2 linked regions of the Schizosaccharomyces pombe genome follow. Changing the gene in region 2 together with the main gene of any one other region gives a genetic interaction. Each region holds a gene or a part of one and is shown on either strand. Other genes may lie near its edges.

Region 1 (4,945 bases), 1.4 Mb from region 2:
GTTACCTGGCACATCTTTGCTTCAAATCAAAATGCCGCATTCTCCTCGAAATAGTGCTATGGGCAATTTTATGGTTTCTGTCGATTTTCAAGATAGAAATCAAAGATCTCTGAAGCAGGTTAAACGAACAGTCTTGCTTCCTCATAGGTCTCCTATTCACGAATACCTTAAGCTAATTGTATGTTCACCTCTTTACTTCATGGGGATTTTGGAAGAAACAGATATTGTCAATGTCCGTTTGTTCGAATCTGAAACATTTGCTAAAAGTTTTAATTCAATTACAACACTTTCCGTTAGATTTTCTGTCAAAAATACTCCAGCTCAAGCTATTGTCAAAATTTATTCTAAAGATATTGAATTTTACGAAGCGACTCTAGCTTTTGCATCAAAATTGCACGGCATGCGGTAAGTTTTACTTTTTGATTTACCTTCTTCATTTTTTTTACTTTACTCAATTTCTTTACCTGTTATACTTTTTCACAAACTAACTTGTCCTTACTAGCTGGTTCATGTATACGCATAAGGTTTCCGCATTTCTCGTTTTCACATCTTTATTTTGGTTTACGGGGATAACCTCAACGATAATTACCTATCTTATTGTCTCTTCCACATCTGAAACAAAAGCAACAAGACGTTGAATCTTCTCACATCTTCACTTGCATCTAAAATCATAATCGTCACAACCATAAAAATACATTATTATTAAATTAGAAAGTTCCATTATTGCTTTATCCGTTAGACCCATTATTCAGCTGCACCTTTATGTACAAAAAGTTGAAAAAGGGTAAAGCAATTTAAATCAGCACTGATTTTTTTTTTAGAAAAAAAAAATCTTTCGCTAGCATCTTCATTTTCGTCATTATTTATTAGTCGCCTAATTATCAAGAAGGCTGTACCAGTTCATACCGTCCATAAAGGAGTATAATTATATGTTCGCAAAATGTAAATACAACACGCAAAAAAGCTTGCAATAGCTCGGCGCACAATATGTAATCAAGTCCGTAAAAACAGGCAAAAAGAAAAAGGACGTAAAAAAGTCGCAAAATGTTGGATTTCATAACCGATAAAAGAAGCAAAGGTTGTCCTTTCGTTGCTAGAAAATGGGGGTTGTCTGCATTAACAGTATCTTGAGACGCCATAAAATCTTTAGAGGAGTTATTCATTGTTGTATTAGTTGCCATGAGTCCTGTTTCATCGTCACTAAAGCTCGAAAGAACTGTGCATTCGTGGCTTGATTCTTCATATGTTGGCATAGAGGAATCGTACCGACGACAAAAGTCGTTTAGGGTTGGAGACATTTTGGAAAGGCTTTGAATAATCCATTTTTGGATACCAATTTCCTCTGAAAGCATCAAAAATCCAGCAACCAATTCTTTGTTTCGCGAACTTTCAGCAGTAAGAGAGCTTTGCAATGATTGACTTATGTGTTTGCATTCTTCTATCGTTTTCTTTTGTTGTTTACATTTAAATTCCAATTCTCTTAATTCTTCACTTTCCCGCATTCCAACCGCAGGAATAGAAATGCAAACTGATGGTTGAGTGAAAGAAAGGCCAACCTCTTTGGAGTAAACCATTTCGTCAAGGTTAGAGGGTGATAAAAATTCATCTCCTTTTGGGTTATTAGACAAAGCAATTAAATGTTTTTCTCTAGTAAGATCATCTATGTGGTTGTTTAGCTGATTATTAGAATTTTTTAATTCATGGTTCTCTAAAGCAAGCCGACGAATAGTATTCTCATTTTCACTTGACCGAGATGCAGCCAAGCTTAATTCCTCAATTTTCTTAGTCTGATCTGTAAACTTACGCAAGAGAGTGGCATACCGAACTTGCAAGGCTGAAAGCTCTTTTTTTGTGGAGTAGAGGCCAGAGTTTGTCTGTATGAGTTCTGACTGAATTTTCTGAAAGTTTTTGTGAATGTTTAGATTTTGAGCCTTAAGAGTCTTAATTTGGTTATTTTGCGAATTATTGGCTACCTTAGATTCATTATATTTGGAATCTGCCATATTTAGTTGGTGGGTAAGTTCATTCACTTTTCCTTCTAAAATATCTACAGTACGAGATTTCTTTCTAGCTTGATCTCGAGCTTTATCTAACATATCCTGGAGTTCTGTGATTTGCTTGATTAGATCATGGTGCCCGTTGGAAAAATCAGGTTTATCCTTCCTAACAAGTGGCATCTCAGTATTTCTGGACGACGTATTTCTTCTTGTTAGAATTTTAATGACTTTTCTAAAAAAAAAATTCTTACCTATTTAGTGGTGTAGATTGGGCAAATGGAGTTCGAAGAATATTGACAAAATCACTGTCGGTAAATTGAGACATCGGCGGCAAGGACAGTCTCTTAGACATCATTTGAGAAGGGTTTAAGGATTCAGGAGAGGCATTAGAAGATGATTTTGAATGTGCAGAATTGACAGAGTGTTCATTTGCATCCTCTTTGATAGAATTTTTGGAATTCTGTTGCTCCATCGAAGGCTTTTCAGCTTGATTCGCAAAAGAGTCATCTTCGTTTTCAGTAAGTTTTTTATATACGTCTCGAAAATTATCCTTTGTAATAGAGAGATCTGCATTTTGCCGTACGAATTCGAGTGTACATTGTTTTTGGAATTCGCTCAAAAGAGGTGGTGCAGAAGCGGGATGTAAGAGTTGTAGGTCATTGATGATTGGCAAAAAGTTGGAAAGATGAACCTAAGAAAATTTTTTGTTAATAGTTTATCCTATTGGTAATTGGGTAAAGCGAGAAAAACCAGAGTCTTGAGAGTTTGTCTCTGACTCAATAAACAAGATCTACCTGCATAAGCAATCAATTTTTTTCATACTTTTCCTTCATGTTTAAAGTCATATGAATCGAAAATCAAGTCAAAATCGCGTTCATTTAGCATTTTGGAAAGGGAACTGGCAATTATAATTATACAGGAAACGAACCACAATTCTAGTGGGAATGGGATTCAGTTTTGAATTTTTTTGTTAGAATTTATCATAAAGCTGCGTGCATTTCATAACAGTTCACGAATTCACCGCATTTCTTAAGTGTTGTGAGTTGGGTTTCGTGCAAGGTCTATCCAAGGGTTTGGCAGTAGGGCTGTTGAGCAAGTGGTTTGAGAGACCAAAAAGAAGTACACAGAAAAAGACGGATTAAAATAAAACTTGAAAATAGATAAAAAGATGTTAGAAGAAATCATGTTTATGCTTGATTTAAGAGCAGCTAGAAAAGTAAGGCCACAACTTGGTCGTACTGTGCATACTTAAGTGATAATTCAAATGAAATCGCAAATTAAAAAAAAAAAAAAAAAAAATTATTTTTAGTGAAGTAGAAACTATTCGTATTTGTTTTATAGATCGATCGATTCCTCTGAGAACTTCAAGCGAATTTGCAGTAATTTAGAACGCCAGCATTTATAATTGCGGGTCAAACAACGATCGCCCAAGAATCTTTCATAGACTCCAAATAAGATTGGTTGATTACTTAACTTATATTTTGATCCTTGAATCGTTTTAGTCAATCAACGTCGTATATATTGTACTTTTTAAAAAATACAAGGTTTTGATCGTAAAAAAAGAAATGCATAGAAAAGGTCAGATTTTTTCATCCAAGAATGTGCAATAAATACAGAAATTACTTCTTTTTCTTTCAATTTAGCCAACTCTTTCGAAAACGTCTTCTATTTACATTTTCTATATAGCTACTACTCAGTCAAAACAGTTGGTTAGCATGTTACTTTATGAGAAGCGAGCGATGTGACGTCAAAGGTTTTTTGGCGAAATTAACACTGTCCATATGTATATGTGTTTGAGCGTGTAAAACCTGGTTTCTGCCATTTACATATTTTGAAACCTCTGTACGCTAGTTTAGTTATTTCTCGTATCATTTTATTTTTAACTGGTGCAAGAGACAAGAAAATTCATTTACTTTCGTGAAGATTTGAAAAATTCGTTTGTCAGCTTAGAATTCTTTGCTAGCAGCATTATTTGTACATTTTCAATTGGACCTCTCTTAGCTTTCAAATTTTATTAAATCTTCTTTGTTTTCTTTCTCTTTTGTACGAAGTGATCATCGAAAAGATAGAGAACATCGGGGTTTCCATTTATGGGCGATAATGTATTTTTAGAGCCTGATCCATGGGCATCTAGCAGTAATTGGGGTTCACCAGTGAAGCCTTTAAATTATAAAACAGCAATTGGTTAGTAAAAGTTTTGTTCTTCTGTTTTTTCCTTCTCAATTAATAGTTAATTTTACGGATCGATGCATTCTATCATTGATTTGTTTCTTTAGCTTGATTTTTTTTTTTTTCATCTTTCTTGCTTTTTTACTTACTTACTGTAATGATGCTAACCTTTTTCTTTTTCTTTTTTTTGTCTATAGGTAATTCATCCATTCCTTTGCAATATCGAAATTATTGGGACGTGTTTCAAGCAAACAATGTTCTCTTATTTCCAGAAGAAGAAAGTTATTCTGATATATTTCATGTTCCTCAAGATGTAATGAAAGAGTTCTTTACCTTGATTGAATCATCAAGCAATCAACCCTTACGGCAAATTCAGTTTTTCGTTTTGCTTGCCTTGGTTGCCTGTTATCAATTAGGTGTTCCTAGCACATTGGAACAGATTTTCAAGCAAAGAAATGGTAAGGCTTTTTTTTATCTTTGCTTTTTTTTGTCTTTTTGCTTACTTCCTCCTCCTTAGTCCTGCCCATTTTGCAGCGTTTTAATCCGGAACTTTTCAATCGTAGTTCTGATAATGAAACCCCTCTTTTTCCTAATAATTCTCCTCCTGCTTCAACAACCGCCTTGAATCTTTCATCCAACATTGTCCCTTCCATTAATGAATCAAAAATTTTAGAACAAGAGGATGACGACGTCTCCAATAAATCCCTCCCTCACGCTCAGCAAAGCATCATCCGTTCGTTTCCTGATATTCAAAAGCAGCCGAAAGGATTCTTTTCCTA
Region 2 (3,913 bases):
GAACCAAGCTTGGTTTGCATTGCTGAATTACTTGTGGTAACAAAAGCCTAGCAGTATCAAAAAACTGTTTTCCTGGGTTGTCAAAAGGATTGCTAGCAGAACGAATTTCCATGTGAGCAAACATACTACCAAGTGCAAAGATCATCATTAGCAAGCAAAGAAAGCCAGGGTCAACGGATGGATTTTGGAAGCTCATGATAAGGTTTAAACGATAACGAAGTAATGTTTCATGGAAAAAGAAAAAATTTGCTTGAACATGGCCATAGAAAGATTTGATAAGAAAATCTGAAACTTCAGGAGGAGGGAGAAGACTCAGCGCTTTTTGAACAGCATTTACATCATGTTCATTCGGAGGATAACTGTGATGGGTATGGGAATACGCGCTCAGCTCGGAAAAAGAAGGATCGACAAGTAGTTCACTTTGAACAGAGTCAACGAATGCTTCACCAGCAGAAGCTCCTATATAACGGGATTCGCCGTTAGAGTCAACTTTTATTTTTCCAATTAATTTCATGATTTCGTCAACGCTTTGATCGCTAGCATCAGCATTGATTCCATTGTTCGTATCCTCTGCTACGACCGTTGGATCTTGCTGAATTTGTGAACAAACAAGTGCACCTTGTGTAAGGGTATCCACGTCACGTTGACTATTGGTGCTTTCACTATTGAGGGAAAAGACATCTGAAGATAATAGTGATTTTTGGTTGCTTATACGATTGCAAACTTCAATCAATGAAGGTGTAGTATAAGTCGAAACTTTGGTGGAACAAAGACGTTCAACAATATATTCTAAACACTTGTATCTTTTTGAAAGATCAATAAAGTAGTCCTTAGAATAATCCATTTCTTTTTCATCCTTTACTGGATATGTGCATTCCAAATTATTGGAAGCACAAGCTTTGCATGGGTTTGCCCCGTCGCAACGAACTTTCCGGGCTTTGCAGTTAAAGCAGGCTAGAACCACCCTTCTTCGTCTCTCCATAGGAACACGACGTCTCCTATTATGCTGCTCCTGCTTCATGGCTTCGAACAGAACCGCCGTATTTTCAGGTGAAAATTCATGGCTCATTTTCCCCGTTTATGTTAGTAAAATACCAAGTTCATACCAATTTCCATAAATTTAAAATTCTTTTTCTATATTACAGAATTTCAATTCTGAAAAGAGAAAATGCTTAACTATGGCAATGACTTGGCAGAACTTGATTAGTAAATGCCTAAAAGAAAAAATTGTAGTACCCCAGCTCCTATGTTCTACTGGAGGGCGTAATTTAGTGTAGTGGTACGAACCTTTTTTATCAACGAAATCTAATATATACACATATTATTAGTATATGAGACCTTGTTTATACATAACTTTAAGAAAAAATCTAACCGATTTTAAATTTTTGAAAAATAAATACTGCTTGTATTGTACTTTGAAAATGGGAACTTCCGTCAATTTCTTTTCGTTGACGAGCTTATACGTTTATTGAAGCATGGCATGCAATCGATTTTTGTTAATAATTTTCCATTTTAGTATTTCTTCAATAAAATGAGTATTGTGTACATAGTAAACTAATTGCACACATATCGGTCGACACGCTATTTCATAAACGGAATGTAGTACGAAAATAATAGCTATTTTGATTAAAACCCTCTTGAGTTTCAATACAAATGTAAATGTTGCGTTATATGAACCCAAAGTTTAAAGTTCAAAGTCAAAGGCAGTAATGAATCATAGATTCAAATGAACTTGAGCTTACTCTTGCATTCCTGTTGACCTACCTAGTCAAATTTCCCATTATGTATAAAGGTTACGAATTTGTTACCTTCTAATCTGCTTAACCTTAAGACTAAAATAATTTATTCCTTATAAGAAACAACATTTAATGAAATGATTGCAAAGTAAAACACGTAGGATTTCCTTTGTCGTTCTACCAACACCTCCAAACCTTACAACGTATCGTTGTTTCTCATGTAAAGGGAAATTTTCCTATATCCTTTTTATGCTGTTATCAATTTAATATAAACTGTATCGCTGTTATTCTAGTAGGTCGCACTGTGCTGGATTTAACCTTCATTGAAATAAATGCTGTCTAGTCAACGTATGCGACTTCCAGCCTAGCTAACTGTGTCTAATACTTTTTAGATCGTCTAGTGACTCAACCTGCTATTCGTGCGTACGAAGCATTTTCTGCTCCAGGTTTCGGCTTTAATTCAAAATTATTGGATGATGCGTTTGGAGGAAGTGGTCTTAAAAGAGGGTATATTTCTGAAGTATGTGGAGCACCTGGGATGGGAAAAACAAGTTTGGCTTTACAGATTACTGCAAACGCTCTTCTTTCCGGTTCTCGTGTGATTTGGGTCGAAACTTGTCAACCAATTCCCATGGAGAGACTTCGTCAACTATTAGACAATCACGTCCCTTCTTCCCAAGATGAAGAGGAAAAATGCGATACTGATGAGTTATTAAATCTTCTCGATGTTGTATATGCACCCAATTTAGTGAATATTCTAGCTTTTTTACGAAATTTCGATCAAGAAAAACATCTTAAAGAAATTGGATTATTAATTATTGACAACCTATCAATGCCTATTCAACTTGCATATCCAACCAGTCCAGAAGATTATGCTTATCTACGTCTTCGTCGTAATACCAGCAAAAAAAGCTCCCTTTCAGATTCATCTCAAAAAGAAAACACTTTGACGTTAAACAAAGAAAATGAGTTCTCGAGTAAAGACGACTCGAATTTTGCATTTCATAACTCCTCTACCAAAACAACAATAAACCGCAGAAAAAAGGCAATCGGTACAATCAGTTCTTTGTTAAGCAAAATTACATCCTCTTGTTATGTGGCTATCTTTGTTACCACCCAGATGACTTCAAAAGTTGTTAGTGGGATAGGTGCTAAGTTGATACCGCTTCTCAGCACTAATTGGTTAGATAATCTATCTTATCGGCTCATTCTTTACAGTAGGCATTCAACTGAAGAATCAAAAGATGGACAGAGTCGTCCCTCTCATCAGCTTCTGCGCTATGCATTCATGGCAAAGCAGCCACCAGCTCATTCTGCAGAATCAGAGTTGGCTTTTCAGTTAACATCTACTGGTATTCAGGATTATCAAAGTATTCCTACCAATAGCTCACAACGACGTAAGAGATCCATTTTGGAATGTGAGTCCTAGGTAAAAATGGTGGCTTCAGTTACGAATTTTTTAGCATAGTGATGGTTGTTTTGCCCATATCTATTAATTTATTATACCTATTCATTACGTTGCATAAACAACTATGAATACTTGTCGAGTGTTGGTCAAAAGTTTCTCAATGATTTATTTGTGATCTCATATCTTTTCATAATGTATCATAAGCTATTTTGTTCGTTCATTTTTATGAAATTGCTAATTGTCATAGAGGAGGGAAATGATTAAGATATCTATATGTTTGCTGATTGACAAGTCCTTATTAATTTTCAATTGTTTAGGTGTCGCATTCAGTGTACGGACAATAATGACATTATGCTTTCGACATATAAATTCCATGTTGACATAGTGACGTCTCAAGCCTAGCTCAAATCTTTAAAACATGGGTTCAAGTCGCTAAAAATCTACCTGAACTTTACAGCTCTTTTGTTACTTTCGAAAGTGTAGTCTAATAAGTCCATTTTGAGCCTGACCTTATTTATACTTCGCTTTGTCTAGTGTGAGTTGGCGGATTAAGTATGTTTTAATGAACATTGTTTCAACCTACCTCTAATTAACATACTAACCTTTTTATTAGTATTTCCTTTCTCTTTTTATATATACATATTTTCAAAGTCTTAAATCGTTTATCAAGTAATTAGCAAGATGATGGGCACTCAACCATCTTACTCTATTCATACGCTTCGCGCGCCTCCTAAAGCGAAACAGAATCAAATTCCTCCCTCTACTACCC

Evidence for each region. Genes that interact genetically often act in the same process or in processes that back each other up.
Region 1: of rad55 (region 2) and kms1, a mutation in one rescues a mutant of the other (synthetic rescue), as found in Schizosaccharomyces pombe (one study listed by BioGRID).

The regions. Positions count from the first base shown.
Region 1 is NC_003424.3:3,461,002-3,465,946, reverse strand, and holds kms1 (protein Kms1), read right to left. Parts: upstream 3,050-4,945; 5' UTR 2,883-3,049; coding exon 2,820-2,882; exon of another isoform or gene 2,689-2,819; coding exon 2,249-2,688; exon of another isoform or gene 2,203-2,248; coding exon 882-2,202; 3' UTR 639-881; downstream 1-638. Other genes in the region: sei1 (seipin), read left to right, coding at 1-405, 503-638. UniProt on the Schizosaccharomyces pombe protein: Has a role in karyogamy, recombination and segregation during meiosis. Although it has been shown to associate with the spindle pole body it is unlikely to be involved in its formation or maintenance.
Region 2 is NC_003424.3:2,065,920-2,069,832, reverse strand, and holds rad55 (DNA recombination mediator, RecA family ATPase Rad55/Rhp55), read left to right. Parts: upstream 1-1,918; 5' UTR 1,919-2,068; coding exon 2,069-2,084; intron 2,085-2,128; coding exon 2,129-3,165; 3' UTR 3,166-3,391; downstream 3,392-3,913. Other genes in the region: SPOM_SPAC3C7.04 (transcription factor), read right to left, coding at 1-1,069; eisosome BAR domain-containing protein Pil2, read left to right, coding at 3,829-3,913. UniProt on the Schizosaccharomyces pombe protein: Required for radiation resistance and meiotic viability and acts in recombination and recombinational DNA repair pathways.